Linked DNA regions of Caenorhabditis elegans. The protein of the gene in region 3 purifies or fractionates together with the protein of the main gene of each other region. This does not show direct contact. Each region holds a gene or a part of one and is shown on either strand. Other genes may lie near its edges.

Region 1 (4,182 bases), 4.4 Mb from region 3:
AAGGAGCTGCGAAGAGCGAGCCAGAGATAGAGAAAATGAGAAAAGTTGGAAATTGAACTTTGCAGACCACACTGACAAAGAAAAGAGGGGGAGAATGCGGGAGGAGAAGAGTGAAAAAAACGGATACTTTGATGAATCGAAAGGCCGGCTTGTGTTGTGGGTGGCAACCAACTAGTACTATGACTATGCCAACCTCGCCCGTAAAAACACGTTCTCTTTGCACGGAAGTCTTCCGAAAGTTCTCTAAAAGTTTCCATGACACAACATTGCCGATTGGGTTTTCAGATGCTAATCCCCAGGGATTGAGTTTGGTCATGAAGAGGAGGACAAAAAAATGACTTTTGGAGGCTTCCGGTCTGCAACTGTTTAACTTGAATTTCGAAACATACTTCTAAATAGGTAAACATCAAAAATTCTGTCTTCAAAGCAGGACATTTTTTTTGAACGCAAAAAAGTTATCAGTGGAACTCGCATACTAAAAAATTTTCCATTGGATATTTCGTTTGAATAAAGTTCAAAATATTTTTAAGAAATTAATTTATTTGAAAAAAAAACACTCAGTATGAAAACGAGAAAAGTTAGTTTACAAAGTTAAAAAAAGCAACTTGCTTTAGGATATCGCGGACATTTTCTGTTGTAAATTTATTATTACTTTTGTGCTAATTTAAGAGACAAAGAAACATTTTTTTTTAATTCTCAAATAGTTAACTCTTGTATGTCCAATCCAATAACGCAATCATTCATAAGAATCTAAGCATTGAGTCCGGTATCTGGTTGATTATCAGGATGAGCGGCAATAAAGGCGGGGATATCAGCAAGAGTCTCATTGATACGATTCACTGTTGGGTATGGCGACAAATCGAGGTTGAATCTGAAATGACGGTTTGATTGCGATCGGAACGATTTGGAAGGGAGGTTATTCTGATGGTTATCTGTGAATCTCTCATGTCTCATCCTAAACGCTCATCGCTTCCAATTCATGTTTGTTGAATGACTAATACATTTTGTTTGAATCAGGAATCCGATAAAAAGGTTGTTGCCACACAAGTGGATGTTGTTTTCAATAGGAATGTGTTTTCGTTTAAATCACTTGCTAAGATGATTCAGTAACTGTCTATGAAAAATTGGTCAGTGTTGTTTGAGGGTAACCCAAAAGGTGTTCAAATTTTCGAGGTTTTGAATACGCAAAATGTCAAACTAATACATTGAAATTCTGGATAGATTACTAAAACATAATAAATTTTCTCAAAAAGTTATCTATGTCCAAAATTCCCTGACCCTCCCTATAATCATACCGGTTAGCTGAGTAGATAAGTGGCGGGATGGAGAGATCCGCAATCGTGACGTCATCTCCGACAGCATACTTCCCAGAATGTTGCTTTAGAAGAATTTCAAGAGCAGTGAGACCTTCGACAACAAACTGTTTGGCAAACTGAAATTTTAAAAATTGAAAACATACATTGAAGATTCTGAAATTAAACCTGTCCTCCGAATCCTGCTTCTTTTTTATTCAAAAGTTGAAGAACCTTCAAATTGTGAAGAGGTTGAATTCCAGAAGCAACCTGTAAACCTCAAAACATAATTGTTACAGTTTTTGTAAAACAATAGCAGTATAAAGTTAAGAAAAAAACCAACTAAATACGTAAAACTTACCAAAAGAGAAATAGCTCTAGCGTGAGCTCTCTTGATTGGATCTTTTGGCAAAAGTGGAACGTCTGGATGCGTTTCTTCCAAATACTCAATAATCGCAAGACTTTCAGTAATTACTTGACCATCCACAACAAATGTTGGTACTTTTGCAGCTGGGTTGATTTCTTTCAGTTTGCTCTAAATTTTAAAATAATTTAAAGAACCGCTTGATTTTCTCTTACCTTAGCCTCTTCGGACAGCAAGTCGACAGTTTTGTATTCGTAGTCCACGTTTTTCAAAGCAAGCGCTGAAAATAACATTTTTGCTAGTTAAAATTGATATAATTAAAATACCAACCGATGCGAACTCTCCATGAGCACGATGATCTCCAATAAGAATACAGAACTGGCTTTTGGTTGGACATGTCTACAAGCAGAAAATAATTTTGTAAATTCTCAGAAAGAATAACTGATGATAATGACTAGTTGAAAAATAAACAAAAAGGGTCAAAGACGGAATGATGTCGAACTAACTGATAAGATTGGACGGTGTATGTCGACGAAATGGTTTTGTTGTTGTATATTGCAGACGCAGAACACTAGAGATAGTGTAATTGTGCAGACACACGTGGTCTTCTACTATACATTACCAACATCATATGTAGACCAAGAGAGAAATGCAGATTCAAAAAACATTAGAAGGAATAAGAAGAAGTAGACAAAACTATGGTAAGCCTTGGGCGATGCCTTGAGAGAACAAGCAGCCCACGACTTTTTTTATGAGGCTGCTCCCAACTCTTGCCCAAGCTGTACCCAAGTCATTTTTTCAAAGACAATATAAAAATACACAGTGCACTTTGATGTGCTTAAATGAAATTGAGAGCATCCAGGAACTATTTTTCAATTTAAACGACGTTGAGACACGTTCATTAAAAGCATATCTGGTGGATCGTATTAATGAGATCCAGACCCAAGCCACGGTGATTGTGGTGAACAACGTTCGTTTTTCGCCGGAGCTCAAGTTGGAGCTGAAAGAGATCTTGTCGAAATGCATTGACGGAACGCGGATCATTTCATCAGAGTCGATTGTTCCACGTCCCCGTTCTCAAAGCTCGACTTCTCGTCGTATCGATGGTAAGTTGAAACTAGGTGTTAGGTACATCAAAATACTAATTATATCTTTTTCAGATTTTGTGAAAATCACGGACGAGCGTCTTCTTCATCTTGTGGAAAACAATACGTCTTGGACTGGTGACAAAGTTCCGTTTTATCTCACTGAGATCAACCGCAATAAGGTAAGTTCGTGAATATGAGAAATATTTGCGGTTATGGGTTAAAATCAGAACTAATATTAATTAACTTTTTACAGTGATCGTCGACGCCCTTTCTTCTTCCCAACTCCTCTCTCATCAACGTGTCTTCGTGCTCGGGTCAACTTCTGATTTTCCGGTGTATTTTCTATTTAAGATCTCCCCTTCACTCCCTATAGATCTTTCATCTCCTTTGTTTTCCCCTCAGTCTCTTCTCAGTGCGTCAATGTAGCACGTTTATGATTTAAAAAACCAACTTCTTGCAATCTGTACTATCACTCAAGTTGGTCCAATAAATTGTTGTTTTTAAATCAACCGTCCTATTTATAAAACGTTTCAAAATGTCCTTCCATGTTAGTCTGTCCGTTCTCTGCTGTCCTCGCAAGTCTCTGAATCCCTCGTCGTTGTGATCCTAAAATCCGTCATCGATTTGTCCATTGAGTATTCTCAAAAAAGTTCCCATCAACGACATTTCTATTTCTGACCTGAATCAGTCGAAACGCAAGAGAGGTAAAGATCAGTCGACTAGGGATTGGGATGAAGCTGGTTCTAAAAACTGGTCTTTTGATAATCTGTCATTTTTCAGTGATCAATCCTATGTCATCCGTCTGGCTGCTTCAACAATGTCTACGCTGTAACTTCACAGTATACAACAAACTCTTGAAAAAAGTATGTTCCATTAGGTTATTCATTAGTTGGTATTGAGCTTTTCTTCTAATTGGACTGTAAAGTAATATGCAAAAAGTGATTAATGGATTTTTTTAGTCTTGTAAAATATTAATACAGTGAACTACCGCGCAAAATTTTACACATTTCAAGCATCGAAATGCTATTTTCAAATTGTTTTTGAATCCCTCTTTTAGTTAAGATTTCATCCAAAAATGTAATAGTGGAGAAAATGTTTATTTACAAATTATTTATTCCAATCTCAAAAATTAATAAAACACAAATACACAAACTACTGTTATAAAATCCAATTATCATCAATATCACAAGTTCACTGGAAACATACATTTCAAAATTACCGGGAGGTTCGGGGAGCTGACTAGAACTGAAAAGTTCACCAAGAAAAGAAACATTAAAATTTAAGTACAGTTGTGTTTCAGTAATTTTTCCATAATACGAAACAATGCATTATCTATTCCCATTTGAGATCAAACGACATTCCATATTTCCTCACATTACATTATGATGCACACTTTTGAATCTTCAACTTTCTCTCCTTTTTCTTTTTTACCATTTTT
Region 2 (4,744 bases), on a different chromosome or scaffold from region 3:
CCAATCCTCTTCTGTTCGTTTTGAGTGATAAGTTTGAACGAAAATGCCATAGAATTTCGTCGAACTGAAAATCAGAATAAAATTTCAAAAGACAAATGTGAAACATTTTAATACCAGATGCGTCGCCTTGAACTTCTCCGATGAGTAGTCGGCAGACATCACGGCAAGACGGCCTAAAACTTGAATTTTGATGGTTTATTGATAAATTTAAGAACTTCTTAAAAGAAAACGAGATTTCATCACGAAAAAAAGCAAGAATGAGGAAAAATTTCTGGAAACTTCCTAAAAATTGCTGAAACGAGTGAAGTTTTGGCGCCGAAGTTTTGTTTACGGACCAAACACACGAAAACACGACTTGTCACACAACTTATTAGCTACAGTAACCCATTCTGCTTTGAAAATTTCTCTTTTTAATTAAAAATTCCTCGATTCAGATGTTTTTTTTTTCTCAAAGTGTTTCTAATAATTATATTTTCCTCGAAATCCACACTATTTTACATAAAACAAATCATCTTATTCTGCTCTTTTCGCCGTTTACACCATCTGTCCTTCTCCAATGACTCCTTCTCTGCGTCTCTTTCACTCTCTCGCCGCCCTCTTTTTCTCTGTCGTCTCTCACTTCGACGTACTTTCTCTCGTGTTGTTGTTCCCGTACTTTTGTGTGTTCCACTGTTTGTGAGATGACGGCTAGTTGCCTGGTACTGGATTCTCACCAGTTTTAATTGATTTTTCATCAAATTTTCTTTAAAAACTGATTAAACTTTGTGATTTTTATCGTATTTTTACAGATTTTCAGTTCAAAATGTCCGATGAGAAGTCTACCACACCAACCGCTCAACTCGACGCTCCAGCCGATGGAAATATGAATGATTTGACGTCGTTGGTACGTAAATACTTGAAAAAAATTGTCAATTTTCTAAAAAATCCTAAAACTCAGATACAAGGAGTTCTGCAACAGACACAGGATCGATTCCAGCACATGTCGGATCAGATTATTCGGCGAATCGATGATATGACAACGAGAATCGATGATTTGGAGAAGAATATCAACGATTTGCTGCAATCGAACCAAGTTGAACATCCGCCAAGCGCTCAATAAGATTGGTACGGAATGAGAAAAATGGGAAACATTCTCAAAAATTTCGGTCGATGTTTTGACCACTCGTTATTTTTGAAAAACAGTGTTGTTTTTGATGTCGACTTTGAAATTTCAAAAAAAAACAATAATATGGGCCGTGGGACCCAATTAGAAATACAGTAAAAAACGCTCTTTGGCCGAATATTTTATAATTTTCATGTATGAAGTCAATCCTTTTATTCCTTCTTAACTTTAGTTTGAAATATATTTAGATTTCCTAGCGCCTTTCCAATCGATTTACCACGTGGTAATCAGGCCGATTGCACCGTTATTCCAAGACTTTATCATTAAAAATTAGTATAAAAATATAGAACTTCACCTATTAATTTTGGCTGAAAAATTCGCCGAAGAGCTCAAAAATGGTCTGAAAGATGCCAAATTTCCACTAAAAAATCAATTTGTAGAGATTATTAATAACTAATCTCTCTTCAATTTCTATTTTTTCCAGCTCTACACTCTTCCCAAATGAATCATCGTCGCTTCCTTCTTCATCATCATCATAATTCCAATTCGTTTTGTGTGCTTCTCTGCGTCTCTCCTACATACATATACTCTTTTCACGTCTTCTTCTTCTTCTTTTTCTACTGATTATGCACGTGTTGAGAGGATTCATGACTACTATGTTGTGCCTCCTGCTTTTAATCTCTTATTCAATAACTTTTGTTGCATTTTATTACGATTTTCGGAATTATTTTATTTATATGTGAAAACACAAATTTTGCCAAAAATTCAAATTTTTGTGCATTTTTAAAAAAAATTTTCAATATGAAACTATTCATCTTACTTTTTCTTCTTCTTCCCTTGAATTTTTTCTCATACTAAATGTTGATTTCTCACAGTTTTTACTAACTATTTCGCATCCGGATTTTCAGATAAAAAACATATAATTTCAGAAATGGGAGCTCAAAATTCGAAGCGAAAAGATCTAAAAAATATTAACGATGAGGATTATGCACATTTTATGGAAAAACTCAAAAAACACACAGATGGAAAGGACAAAATGACGCGAGACCAGTTTGTGGTGAATTAATTTTTAGAAGGAAAATACATTTTAATATAAAATTTTCAAATTCCAGGCAATGTTCATACCGATTCTGGGTGAATATTCATCACAATTCTACTTTCGTTTGGTAAAAAACGAGCCGCAGGGCGTTTTGCTCGCTAAAACAATCCTAAAATGTATTGATACTGGACTGGGACATTTCGATCAGCTCGCCGATATGCTCAGATTCTGTTTTGGAGATCAAAAAGATCAGGTTTCGAATTTATTAATTTAAAGAAAAACTTCTTTTTTTTTTGTCAGATAATGCGAAATGTTGTGAAAATCTTCTGTGAAGGAAACAAATTCACCCGAGAGGATCAGGTCCGTCTCTACGATTATTTCGAAACAGAAAATACAAAACCAGTGAGCGAACTGGAAAGCTTTTTCTCAATGTGCCCACTGTTCGCCTATTGTGCTTCGTTCATTTTCCAACGACTTTTGGATAAAACTGGAGACTCGAAAATGCCAATTCTCTCGGACAAGACTCATTTAATGGGAAATATCGATCAATTAGTGCTCAACTCGCACCTTCCATTCGATCGACGCAAAAATTGGACACTTTTATATTCAAACATGAAACACGGGCAAAGTTTCTCACAATTGGTTAAATGTATTAATGGAGAAGGTCCTTGTATGATTGTGATCAGATCAATGAAAGGACGACGATTTGGGTTTTTCGCCTCGCAAGGTACACAAGAAATGTTGTGTCGATTTACGCAGCTCGTGTACTCCTCGAGAAGAATTTATACCTTATGATTTGCAGAAGATTTTACAGATTTTACTTTTTTTGCAGATTTTCTAGATTTCAGATCTTTCTTTTTGTAGACTGAAACCGAGAAATTGTAGTTTTACAATAGCAAATACATTTTCAAAAATGCTATAAATTATAGATAAATTGATGATTCCAGTTTTAAATATCAAAAAAATTGACAAACAGTTTCAAAAATTGAACATTTCATCCAAAAACTGTAAAATCTTCCTCCACGAGGAATACACGAACTGCGTAAATCCACACATGGCTGTGTTACAAGTTTCGCAGTAATTCTTCATTTTTTCAATTATGATAAAGCAACGGAATTCTAGCAGATACTATTTGAGTACCAATTTTCTCTAAAAATTGAAAATTTTTTAGGTTTTCTCGCGGGACCCCAATACCGTGGCACGGCCGAGTGTTTCCTCTTCCAGCTGGCTCCGAAAATTGCAACTTTTGATGCGACCGGGCGGACTGAGAATTACGTGTACCTAAACTACCAGCAACAGCAACATCCGAATGGATTGGTGAGTATATCCCGCCATGGATCATTCAGTATCTAGAGAACCAGTTTTACGATTTTTAAGTGTGAAATTTTCAAATTTCAGGGAATTGGTGGAACCGAATCCGTATGGCCGTTGTTTATCCACGAGGAGTTTGGCGGTGGAACGTGCCAAAAGAATTCCAGTTCGTTTGAGCCTTGCCACATTGCCGAAGAGGACGAGTTCAAGGTGAATCGGGACTAAAGCCCTTAAAGCCGAAAAAACGAAACAAAAACATGCATTTTCCAGATCAAAACAATCGAGGCTTGGCGCCCGGGCGACAAACCACAGAAATCATTCGAAGAGCAAATCTTGCTCGAGGAACGATCGCCGGAAAAATCGATAATCGACAAGGATCCGGAGGCTCGTGCGGTGCTCGAGTTGGCCGGAAAATCGATGCATTCGGAAGCGTATCGTGATCCGGCTCCCCTGCTCGATGGTGAATAGGCTCCGGAACCTCTAATCCCCAATTGCCACTTTCTCAGTCTTCTTTGATCCTTTACATCACCTGTAATTCCACTTTCATCAGTTTTTGTATCTCCTGTGCTATTTAAACGCTGCAAGACCCATGTGCGCCTTTAAATGATCACTATATCTTTGAATTCATAATACTTTTCCGCCGCCCGTCCCCATGTCCTGCCGCCGTGAGCTAAACAATGGTTGTTAATATTTCGACAATTTTACATGTAAATTTTCACATCCATACGTTTCTGCAATTTTTCAATCAAAAATTCTAGAAATTTTCAAATAAAAATGAATTTTCGATTTTTTCATCATACCAACTAAAACATAACATTTTTATAAGGCTTCCAATTCAAGATGATGAGCTCATTCTCTAACGCGGATTACAAAAAATCATTCAAACTGCGTCCGTCGATCCGTCTCTTCTCGCGTCGACTCCTCGTGTGATTTGCCGCTTCCAACACCCTAGCAGCGACAGCAGTGCTCCATATTTCACCCGTGAGCCGACGTTTCAGCCGATCCAAGAGTTTATCGAAATGTCCGAACATTTTCACGATATTACGTACGTACGTTTTCAGCTCAGAATTCGCATTTATTTTAAGTTCCGATAGTGAAAAATGGTGACAAAAAATTTAAATTCCTGTCAAAAAGTGGGTGAAAGCCATAATTTTGGAAGATAACCAAACATCTCTTGTCTTTTTCTACGATTCATGTATTTTAATTGAGGATTCCATGTCAGAGTCGCGCGGCGTCGGAGCCTCACGCCGGCCGGCCTTCTTCGTCGCTCCTTCAAAAAATATTTTATATAT
Region 3 (3,344 bases):
CAAAATATGAGAATTTTGAGAAGAAAACAAGTTTGTGCGTTGTAAAAATATTTCATCGCTATGTTTTTTACCTTCTAAGAACTTAAACTTGAGAAATTCGAATGAATATTACGATTAGCCCTCGAATAGTATGAGTTTGCCAAACAAATTGATTGCTTATTCTTATTTTTGAAGGGAAACGGTACAACTCAGAATATGTCTCACAATCAGGGCCGTCTTTAATTAGACAAAATATGGTGACGCCACAATTGAAAATTGGTGGCTCTTATAATGTTGAACGACTGCAGGCTCTATTGGATGCATCTCATCAAAGTAGCTGTGCATAATTCTCTACAGCGAAGAGCCACAAATTGTGAAAAATTCTGTCCAAACCTCGCAGATGAGCTAGGGATTTCCAAACTATCTCACAGAGTAGGAGACTCGAGTTTTTTTTTCGACTGGAAAAAAGGAAGGTAGGGCTGACAGGCTGGCAAAGATGATGACAGACTTATGTGATGTTTTTTGGGGTTCAAAATTTAGATCAACGTATTTATTTTTGAAATAAAGCAATCATGCTGAGAAATACATGCCAAAAAGGAAAGAGAACGTGTGACGAATGTGAATGGGAAATTGAACTTTGAAATGATGAACGAAGAACCAGTTGTGGATGACGGTGATCTACTTGCGCTCAGCAGCAAAGGCATCCTCGGGGTGTCCGGTCATACTGAAAAAGAGTTGGGTTACTAAAGTTTCAGTCATTTTGTCCTATAAACTTACAAATCTTGAAGAAAGAGACGCTGCGAGTTCTTGCTCTCCTCGAGCTTGGCAATGTCCTCTTCAGTGAGAGAGAAGTCGAACACCTCGAAGTTCTCCTTGATGCGATTTTCTTGGATCGACTTTGGAAGGATTGCGCATCCACGATCAAGAGCGTAGCGGAGGAGCACCTGGGCTGGAGTCTTGTGGGTTTTCTCAGCCAAAGCCAACACATTTTGGTCTTGAAGGTCGGATGGAGCTGGAGCCCAGTCCAATTTCCTGCAAATAGGTGTTGAGAAAAGGAACAAGCTACTTGTTAAACTTACTGTCCAGTTGGAAGAGTGAAGTTGACACGTCCTGGGCTTCCCAAAGTGGCGTAGGAAGTGACCGAGATATTGTGCTTCTTGCAGAAATCGACGTGGTCGTGCTGTGGGAAGTAGAGATGAAGCTCGACTTGGGAGTTGTGAACTGGTGTCAATCCAAGAGCAAGAGCACGAGAAATCTGATCGTTGTTCCAGTTGGAGACACCGACAGCCTTGGCAAGTCCGGCCTTGTAGACTGCATCAAACTGACGCCAGACGTCCTCCACTGGCGAAGCGATGTGCTCGCTCATGTCATCGTTGAATGCAGCTGGCATGTGAGCAAGGTACAAGTCGACGTACTCCAGTTGAAGCTTCTTGAGGGACTCGCGAAGTCCACCCTCCAGTTTTCCCGGAGCCAACTCGTGAGTCCAAGCCTGTAAAACCGGATTTGTATAAAATAATATAAAGATGCTATTTTTGCAAACCTTAGTAGTGATGAACAGCTCCTCACGTTTGACAACTCCCTCCTCGAGAAGCTCCTTGATAGCAGTTCCGATGGCTTCCTCGTTTTGGTATACGGATGCGGTATCGATGAGACGGTAGCCAGCTTTGACGGCGGTCTTCACGGCGGTGATGACTTCGGCGGGGCTTGACTGCCAGGTTCCGAGACCGATGACCGGCATCTCAACTCCGTTGGAAAGCTTGATGGAAGCAGTTGCGGAAGACATGGTGATGGACCGAGTGTTGAGGAGATTCTAAAATTGAAAAAATAGAAATGTGAAATTTTTGAGAACAAAACGAGGTGATAAAGTATAGAGTAAAAGAAAATCGGCAAATAAAATTGTCCAAAGTTTGATAACTAACAGACGATTGTGCTATATTTGATCAGACGGAAATAGAAATAGAGAATGCTAAGAGGGGAGGGAGGGCTGATGAAAATCTTACAAACCTTGACACTATTCAAGTTATTTCCAAAAAAGGGTTGAGGGCGCTGATTTAATCTACCTTATGCCTCACGGTATTTATATTCAAAAAAAATCATCTTTATCAAGCGATAGCAGCTGTCGGTAGGAATCAGTTTGAGAGAGACCAATGGTGTATCTTGTTCCCGAAATGCAATAGTTTGCCAGCAAAATATAAATGATACGCAGGAGGTTAGGGGAGAATGAGAGAGAATCTGTGGGTCAAAAAATGATGACATTTTATTGTTCGAAGCATGCACCGTGGACGTATTTCGGAGATAACGAAATTTTAAATGGAAATTTGTATCATTTTCAGTGTTTCAAAAGTGTTACTTAGGAGGTGCGTTTGTAGTAGGCGAAATTAAGCGCATTTTATAAACGTCTACTGATAAGGGTAAGATATCAATCTACATTCTAGAACTGTTAGTTTTATTTTATTTTCAAGCAGCATTTTTACCAGCTAATTTGAACATGATTTGATTCATGAGCACCGGGAAAGTGAGTGCCAAGGAGAGGATAGGCGAGAGAGAGAGAGGTCACGGCAACGTAAAAAAGGAAAAAATAAGCAGGAAAAATGGAAAACAATGTCAGTTGCCCCAGATTTCTTCCCTTTTATACTGACCAAGGAAGCCACGCCCCGTTCCGTTCCCGCGTTCAAAAAAATGTTCCCGGTTTCCTCTTTCTTGCAGTGATTGCACAGTTTGCGCATAATGCAGATCACATAACAGATTTGACGCGCAATATTTTTGAAGAAAAGGCGCGTGGAGAGAGTGCGGGCAAAAAAGGGAGAGTGTAGGATGGGTAACAAAACACTGCGCAACAACGATTCAGGATTTTAATCGCACTGAAAATGAATTTTGTGATTTTAACTCTAATTTGAATCCGTTTTACTTGAAAAACGTTAGAAAATATACTCAAAAGTGAGACAACAGGAAAAACCAATTTTAATTGTTCCATTTTTCTATAAGGATATTTTTTTGATAAAAAATCAGTGCGTTTTCCGACTTTGATACCATTTTTCCTCTGATTTTACTTTTTTTATTCATTTAAATTCTGAAATTATCGCATTTGTATTGTGTTCATATACAAACAGAAATTCAATACAGTGAAATTAATAGTTTACTTTGAAACAAAAATAATAGTTGTTGGTTTTCAATTATTCTAAATTTGCAACATTCATTTCAAATATCCATATCAAGGTATCAGGTTATTTGGACCACGAAGCAGCATTTCAAAAATGAACAATTAAATATATACCTATACAGTACCAGTAAGACCAAAAGATTTTGACGGGCCCAAAAGACTGACGAGTTGGGAGAACAAAAGAGGTAAAGGGGACATGAACGTA
Region 4 (4,885 bases), on a different chromosome or scaffold from region 3:
TCTCACTTTGATTTTATTAATTATTTATATTTAATTACTACTGAATAGTTTTTGAATATTCTTCTTCTATTCGAATCAGGAAACTTTTGGAAACCGGTGCTAAGTCCCTTTGATGCTCCCGAGTGGACTTTGAAGGAGAAATTCGAGATATTAGAGCGTGAGCTTAAATGGGAACAAAGGCGAAGAACGACAGAGAAGCCATCATCCAAAGTGGTTTCGGTGGATCTACAGAGTCTGGAGAATGTTCGGATAGCAGCTTCTACTGCGACATCTTCGACAGCCACGGTGGCTCAGATGCACAAGAAGAGGAAGATTGCCTTCGAATTGGATCCGGTGCTAACAAGTCCCGCGTGGCAGGCCTATTAGGTAAGTTTTTTTTTTTTAATTTTTGTTATTTGCTTGTTTAAATTATTGCTCTTTTCAGGAAATTAATGACTAAATACATCCTCCCAACAGAAGGCACATTTCCAAGGATAACTTTTTTTTTTAATAAATTGTCATTTTTAAATTTATAAAATTGTACCAACTCATTCTAACATTTTTAGTATTTACAAAATCTGTATTCGAACTCGTTTCAGTTTACGAAAATTTAAGAAATTTAAAACAAATGGATGTCAAGCAATAATATCGGCCTAATAACTACGGTTTTTGGGGAAAATACCGAAGGAAATTTGAAAGCATCACGGGGATTTTAACATAAATAAAACACAGTTGGCTGGGAAATGATAGGGGAATGAGTAGGGCAATCAGTATAAATATGAAACAAAAGAAGACTAGACAACAAAGAATTTGTTAATCGAATGATCGGATTCCAAGGCACTATCAGAAATTTCACGATGACGGAGTTCTTGAAGATTCTCTCCGTTGTAGGAGACAATTGTCTTCAAGTAGATCGGCTTTTCAGTTGCAGTCACTTTCGCTTGAACACGTTCCAGCCACAACTTGTTCACATCTGAAAATCAGTTTTTAAATCAATTTTAATTCTGAATTCACAGAAAAATCTACTCACTGGACAAATCTCTCTGACAAGTGCTCAAACAATCAGTTCCAACAGATTGAGCATTTTTCAATGGAGAAAACTCTTCGTTCCTCGCCACCTCCCAAATGAAAAATCGCTTCGAGAGCTCGAAGACGTCGAAAATAAACTGCTCCAGCTTGATACCATTTGGTTTTTCCGGTTTGACAATGGTTCCCTGCTCATTCACATAGGAAATCTTCTTGTGAGCACGATGATATGGAAGACGAGATGATGGAGAGCAGACTCTGTATTTATTTTAAAATTAAGCTTTTTCTCCAAATTTGAAATTACAAACCTATCCATGAAATCCATCGTGAAAAAGTGATTTGCAATAGATCCTGCACCAAACAAATATTTTCCATCCGGTGTCTTTTGTTCAGCCAACTCGGCTCCAAGCTCCGAATATTCAACGACACGTGGTAGTCCTCTATCAAGACAAACTGATCCGACGAGTTCTCCTTTTTGCTTCGGAACACACTTGGTTGCAACGTCAGCTTCGTTTGAAATGGCGAATCCGATGAAATGAGGGTCGGCAACTTTGCACAGAATGTTGTCCACACAATACACATGGAAATATTTGATTCCTTTCGCGCGAAGACGTGGCAAATGAGCAGAGATGGCAGAGTAGAGACCTCCGTTGCCGTCTGAAAAAAAATATGATTTTTCGGTTTTTTGTGAGAAAATCGATAATTTTCTTTTTTTGAAATCCAGAAAAAAGTCTAGATTTTATGTTCTAAAAAAAGTTGAGTTTGATGAGAACACATTATCTTTAAAATATTGAAAATTCGATTTTTTTTTCGTTGAAAAACTCATTTTTTAAAATTTTTGTGTCGATTTACGCAGCTGGTGTACTCCCCGAGAAAGAATAATTATTTTTTTGTACGAAATTTTTAAGTATTCGGATAAAATACTTAATTTTAGATATTTTTTAAATTCAAATCGTCAACTAATTTATATTTTTAGTGTGTTTTGGGTGAAAATCCATGCAATTAATACTGCTTTCAATATTGACACCGAAAATACTTTAAATGTCATATAATTTTTCGTTTTGAAGATTAAAAAATAATCAAAAAGTCAGAATTATAGCTGAAAAATTCGTAAAAACAGTTTTCCTCGAGGAGTACACGAATTGCGTAAAAACTCATACTTGGAGCAGCAACAACAGATCCTTTAGTTCCGAGAAGGAAGTTTCCCTGCTCATCGTATGCAGCAATTTCATCTTGTGAGAAAATAGTAATTTGTTCATCGAAATCGAATCCATGATGAGCCGCCAGTTTCTTCACATGCTCACGAGTAGCCTCCTCTGTTCCAGGTGACGTCATAACTGCCCAGTGAATTTTTCCCGGATTCTGATGCTCCCGTTCTCCAGCGAGAGCCTGAAGAAGTGCAATTTTGGCAGCTTGAATTCCCAAAAGAGAATCTCCAAATGAAGCGTTAATTCCCAATGGAATCGTTCCTTTCGGTTGACTTGATCCAAGACGTGTAGCTTGTCCACCGGCGAGCACAATTGCACATACTTCTCCACGTCCAATAGCATCCATTCCCTTGTTCCAGAGACCATCGAGGATCTGAAAATAATGTAATTTTAATGATGGTTTTACCTAAATATTAAAAGTCTCTACCACTTGATGCAATTCAGCTTGTACAAAATGCTGAGAATCAAGAACCGGCTTAAGGTCTTCCGCAGTTGATGGAGCCCGTTGATCCGCTGAATCAATGAACCATTGATGAGCTTCCGAAAGGTTTAGAGTTGAAATTTGGTGGAAAAGCTTCGATTTTTCGGCATCCGAGAGCTCATTGTAAAAGTTGAGAAGTGGCTCAGAGCCCGGAAACTTTGAGATAATCTCGTCTTTTGGTGGAGCAGTGATGGTCATCGTACTGAAAATAATGATCAAAATTAAATAAACGATTCTCCGGTGGAAAACAATTCAAAAAGTGATAATACACGGCGCAAAGATAAGAAAATAATTATTCATAACGCTGTGTGTGGCAGCTTCTCTCTAATTACAGAAATGTTCATTTGGAAAATAGATAGACACAAAAAACTGCACTTATTTAACACGTTTCCTACTTTAAAACTCTAAAAACAAGGAGATGGAAAACAAGAAACACGACAAAATATTGATTGTTGGCTTAACGTTTTTAGAATGCAATAAAAACAGAGAATCTCTTGTTTCGCCGAAGAAAATGCGGAGAAATCCAATCTAAATGGAAAAAAAAAGTTTTTATTAAGAAAAATTCACTGAAAATGAAAAAAAATCTGCAAATTCTTCAAGAAAATGATGAAAAGATCACAAAACATATAAAAAAACATCTGAACATGGCGCCGCTGCCGCCATAAAAACTTAAAAGTACGCGAACACAGTGACGGAAAAATGCACAGAGTTCAATTCTCCCAATATATATATACCAGTGGATTTAAAAAGATTTTGAGTTTTTCGAGCACCGCAAGACTCAAACTTAATCTAAAAAATAACCAAAAAGACTAGCTTCCAATAGAAATGACGTATTGATTCAGCGACATTGAAAAAGTTGAAAATGAAAAAAATCCACCCATCGCAGGCGCTCTGCACTTCTACTGGTAGATCAAACAAAGAGGAGACTGATATCACTAGTGATCTTGATCCACGGCGGCAGCGGTCGTATTCTGATTTCCCTGCATTCTCTGCGTCTCTCACCGCGCTATATAAGGCGGCGAGAGAGCTCATTCGTGTTTTTCTGTCTCGTTTTTGTTTATTTGTTTATTTGTTTATTCTCGCGCGTTTTTCTTTAAAAAAGGTATTTAAAAAGATCACTGAAAAAACGTGCGAGGCTTGCGAAATGAGCGTGCGGTGGTTGCGAATTGGCACCGCCCACTGAAACCTTTTTTTTGTAAATCCTAAAAAATCTGCAATTTTGTCAGCAGCCAAGAAGCTTTTGCATTTTCCCTATAATTTTGTCGTTTATTTCACATTTTTGATTAGTTTTTGAACATTTTTAGTCGCTAATATGGTTGAAAAATGAACTTAAGTCTACAGAAAAGCGCGAAAAACTCCGAAATTAGGGTTTTTGTAATTATTTTGGCATAAAATTCGCCATAATTCAATCTTTCAGCGTTCTCTTTCATTTTCTACGTATACGTGCTTAAAACTGTTGAAAATTACTCCTTCTTTCCAGATGCCGGAAGAATACATCATGTCGTCGAAGGCATGCGTCTACGTCTTGGGCGGTGCGGCCAACACAGCCACCTTGTTTGATTTTGACGGCGTCTACATTCTCGATGGGGGATTCGCCGAAAAAAGCCCAGGATTCGTGGCTCACGTCAGGGACGTCTCTGCCGTGCTGCTCGCCGCGCCGACGCTTGGTAACCTCGGAACCACGTCTGCTCTGTTGGAACAGGTTTGTAGAAACTTTAATGAAAATTTTGATAATCTACTTTTTTCAGGGAAAACCGTTGCCGGTGTTCACCAACACGAAGCCGTTCAAGACTGCCAAGCCGGGAAGCAGTGGAGAGATTGCCAAAGCAATTCAAGAAGCGAACTCGAAGCTTCTCTCCGTTGCACCGCCACTGTTCAGCCCGAAATATCCGGCACACATCATATACCAGTCAGCTGCAAAAGGAGTTCTCTCCATGTATATTCTGGCTGGAGACGTCAAAGACTCCGAAGTGATCACAAAGGCGTTGGCAGGAGGAAACGAGGCAGAAGTGGAGAAGGCGGCCGCTGAGAATGGAACCATCGCCGTCCTGCTCTGGAGGCCTGCGATGACGGATCAATCGGCGGTCAGAGTGCTTATTTCGGGGACGAGCTCACTTGCGAGGATCCAACAATCGCTCGACAAGGCAGCGAAATCACTTCCATTCCTCAACGCGCCCACCGTGAAGTCGAA

Evidence for each region.
Region 1: the proteins of C07D8.6 (region 3) and gst-42 fractionate together in Caenorhabditis elegans (co-fractionation; one large-scale study listed by BioGRID). This does not show direct contact.
Region 2: the proteins of C07D8.6 (region 3) and eak-7 fractionate together in Caenorhabditis elegans (co-fractionation; one large-scale study listed by BioGRID). This does not show direct contact.
Region 4: the proteins of C07D8.6 (region 3) and C36A4.4 fractionate together in Caenorhabditis elegans (co-fractionation; one large-scale study listed by BioGRID). This does not show direct contact.

The regions. Positions count from the first base shown.
Region 1 is NC_003284.9:11,725,744-11,729,925, forward strand, and holds gst-42 (putative maleylacetoacetate isomerase), read right to left. Parts: upstream 2,194-4,182; 5' UTR 2,054-2,193; coding exon 1,987-2,053; intron 1,937-1,986; coding exon 1,872-1,936; intron 1,828-1,871; coding exon 1,654-1,827; intron 1,563-1,653; coding exon 1,482-1,562; intron 1,433-1,481; coding exon 1,296-1,432; intron 872-1,295; coding exon 751-871; 3' UTR 521-750; downstream 1-520. Other genes in the region: D1053.2 (Histone-lysine N-methyltransferase, H3 lysine-79 specific), read left to right, coding at 2,408-2,762, 2,817-2,923, 2,998-3,000; D1053.3 (Ras family protein), read right to left, coding at 4,120-4,182.
Region 2 is NC_003282.8:12,563,271-12,568,014, reverse strand, and holds eak-7 (MTOR-associated protein MEAK7), read left to right. Parts: upstream 1-2,031; 5' UTR 2,032-2,033; coding exon 2,034-2,159; intron 2,160-2,214; coding exon 2,215-2,394; intron 2,395-2,441; coding exon 2,442-2,868; intron 2,869-3,312; coding exon 3,313-3,458; intron 3,459-3,539; coding exon 3,540-3,662; intron 3,663-3,722; coding exon 3,723-3,920; 3' UTR 3,921-4,240; downstream 4,241-4,744. Other genes in the region: Protein let-99, read right to left, coding at 1-64, 115-159; hsb-1 (Heat shock factor-binding protein 1), read left to right, coding at 803-883, 938-1,099.
Region 3 is NC_003284.9:7,339,954-7,343,297, reverse strand, and holds C07D8.6 (NADP-dependent oxidoreductase domain-containing protein), read right to left. Parts: upstream 1,790-3,344; 5' UTR 1,763-1,789; coding exon 1,520-1,762; intron 1,469-1,519; coding exon 1,059-1,468; intron 1,012-1,058; coding exon 757-1,011; intron 704-756; coding exon 658-703; 3' UTR 518-657; downstream 1-517.
Region 4 is NC_003281.10:3,840,719-3,845,603, forward strand, and holds C36A4.4 (putative UDP-N-acetylglucosamine pyrophosphorylase), read right to left. Parts: upstream 2,897-4,885; 5' UTR 2,893-2,896; coding exon 2,641-2,892; intron 2,587-2,640; coding exon 2,166-2,586; intron 1,663-2,165; coding exon 1,314-1,662; intron 1,264-1,313; coding exon 1,010-1,263; intron 953-1,009; coding exon 774-952; 3' UTR 528-773; downstream 1-527. Other genes in the region: C36A4.11 (uncharacterized protein), read left to right, coding at 168-366, 425-432; maph-1.3 (Microtubule-associated protein futsch), read left to right, coding at 4,175-4,396, 4,443-4,885.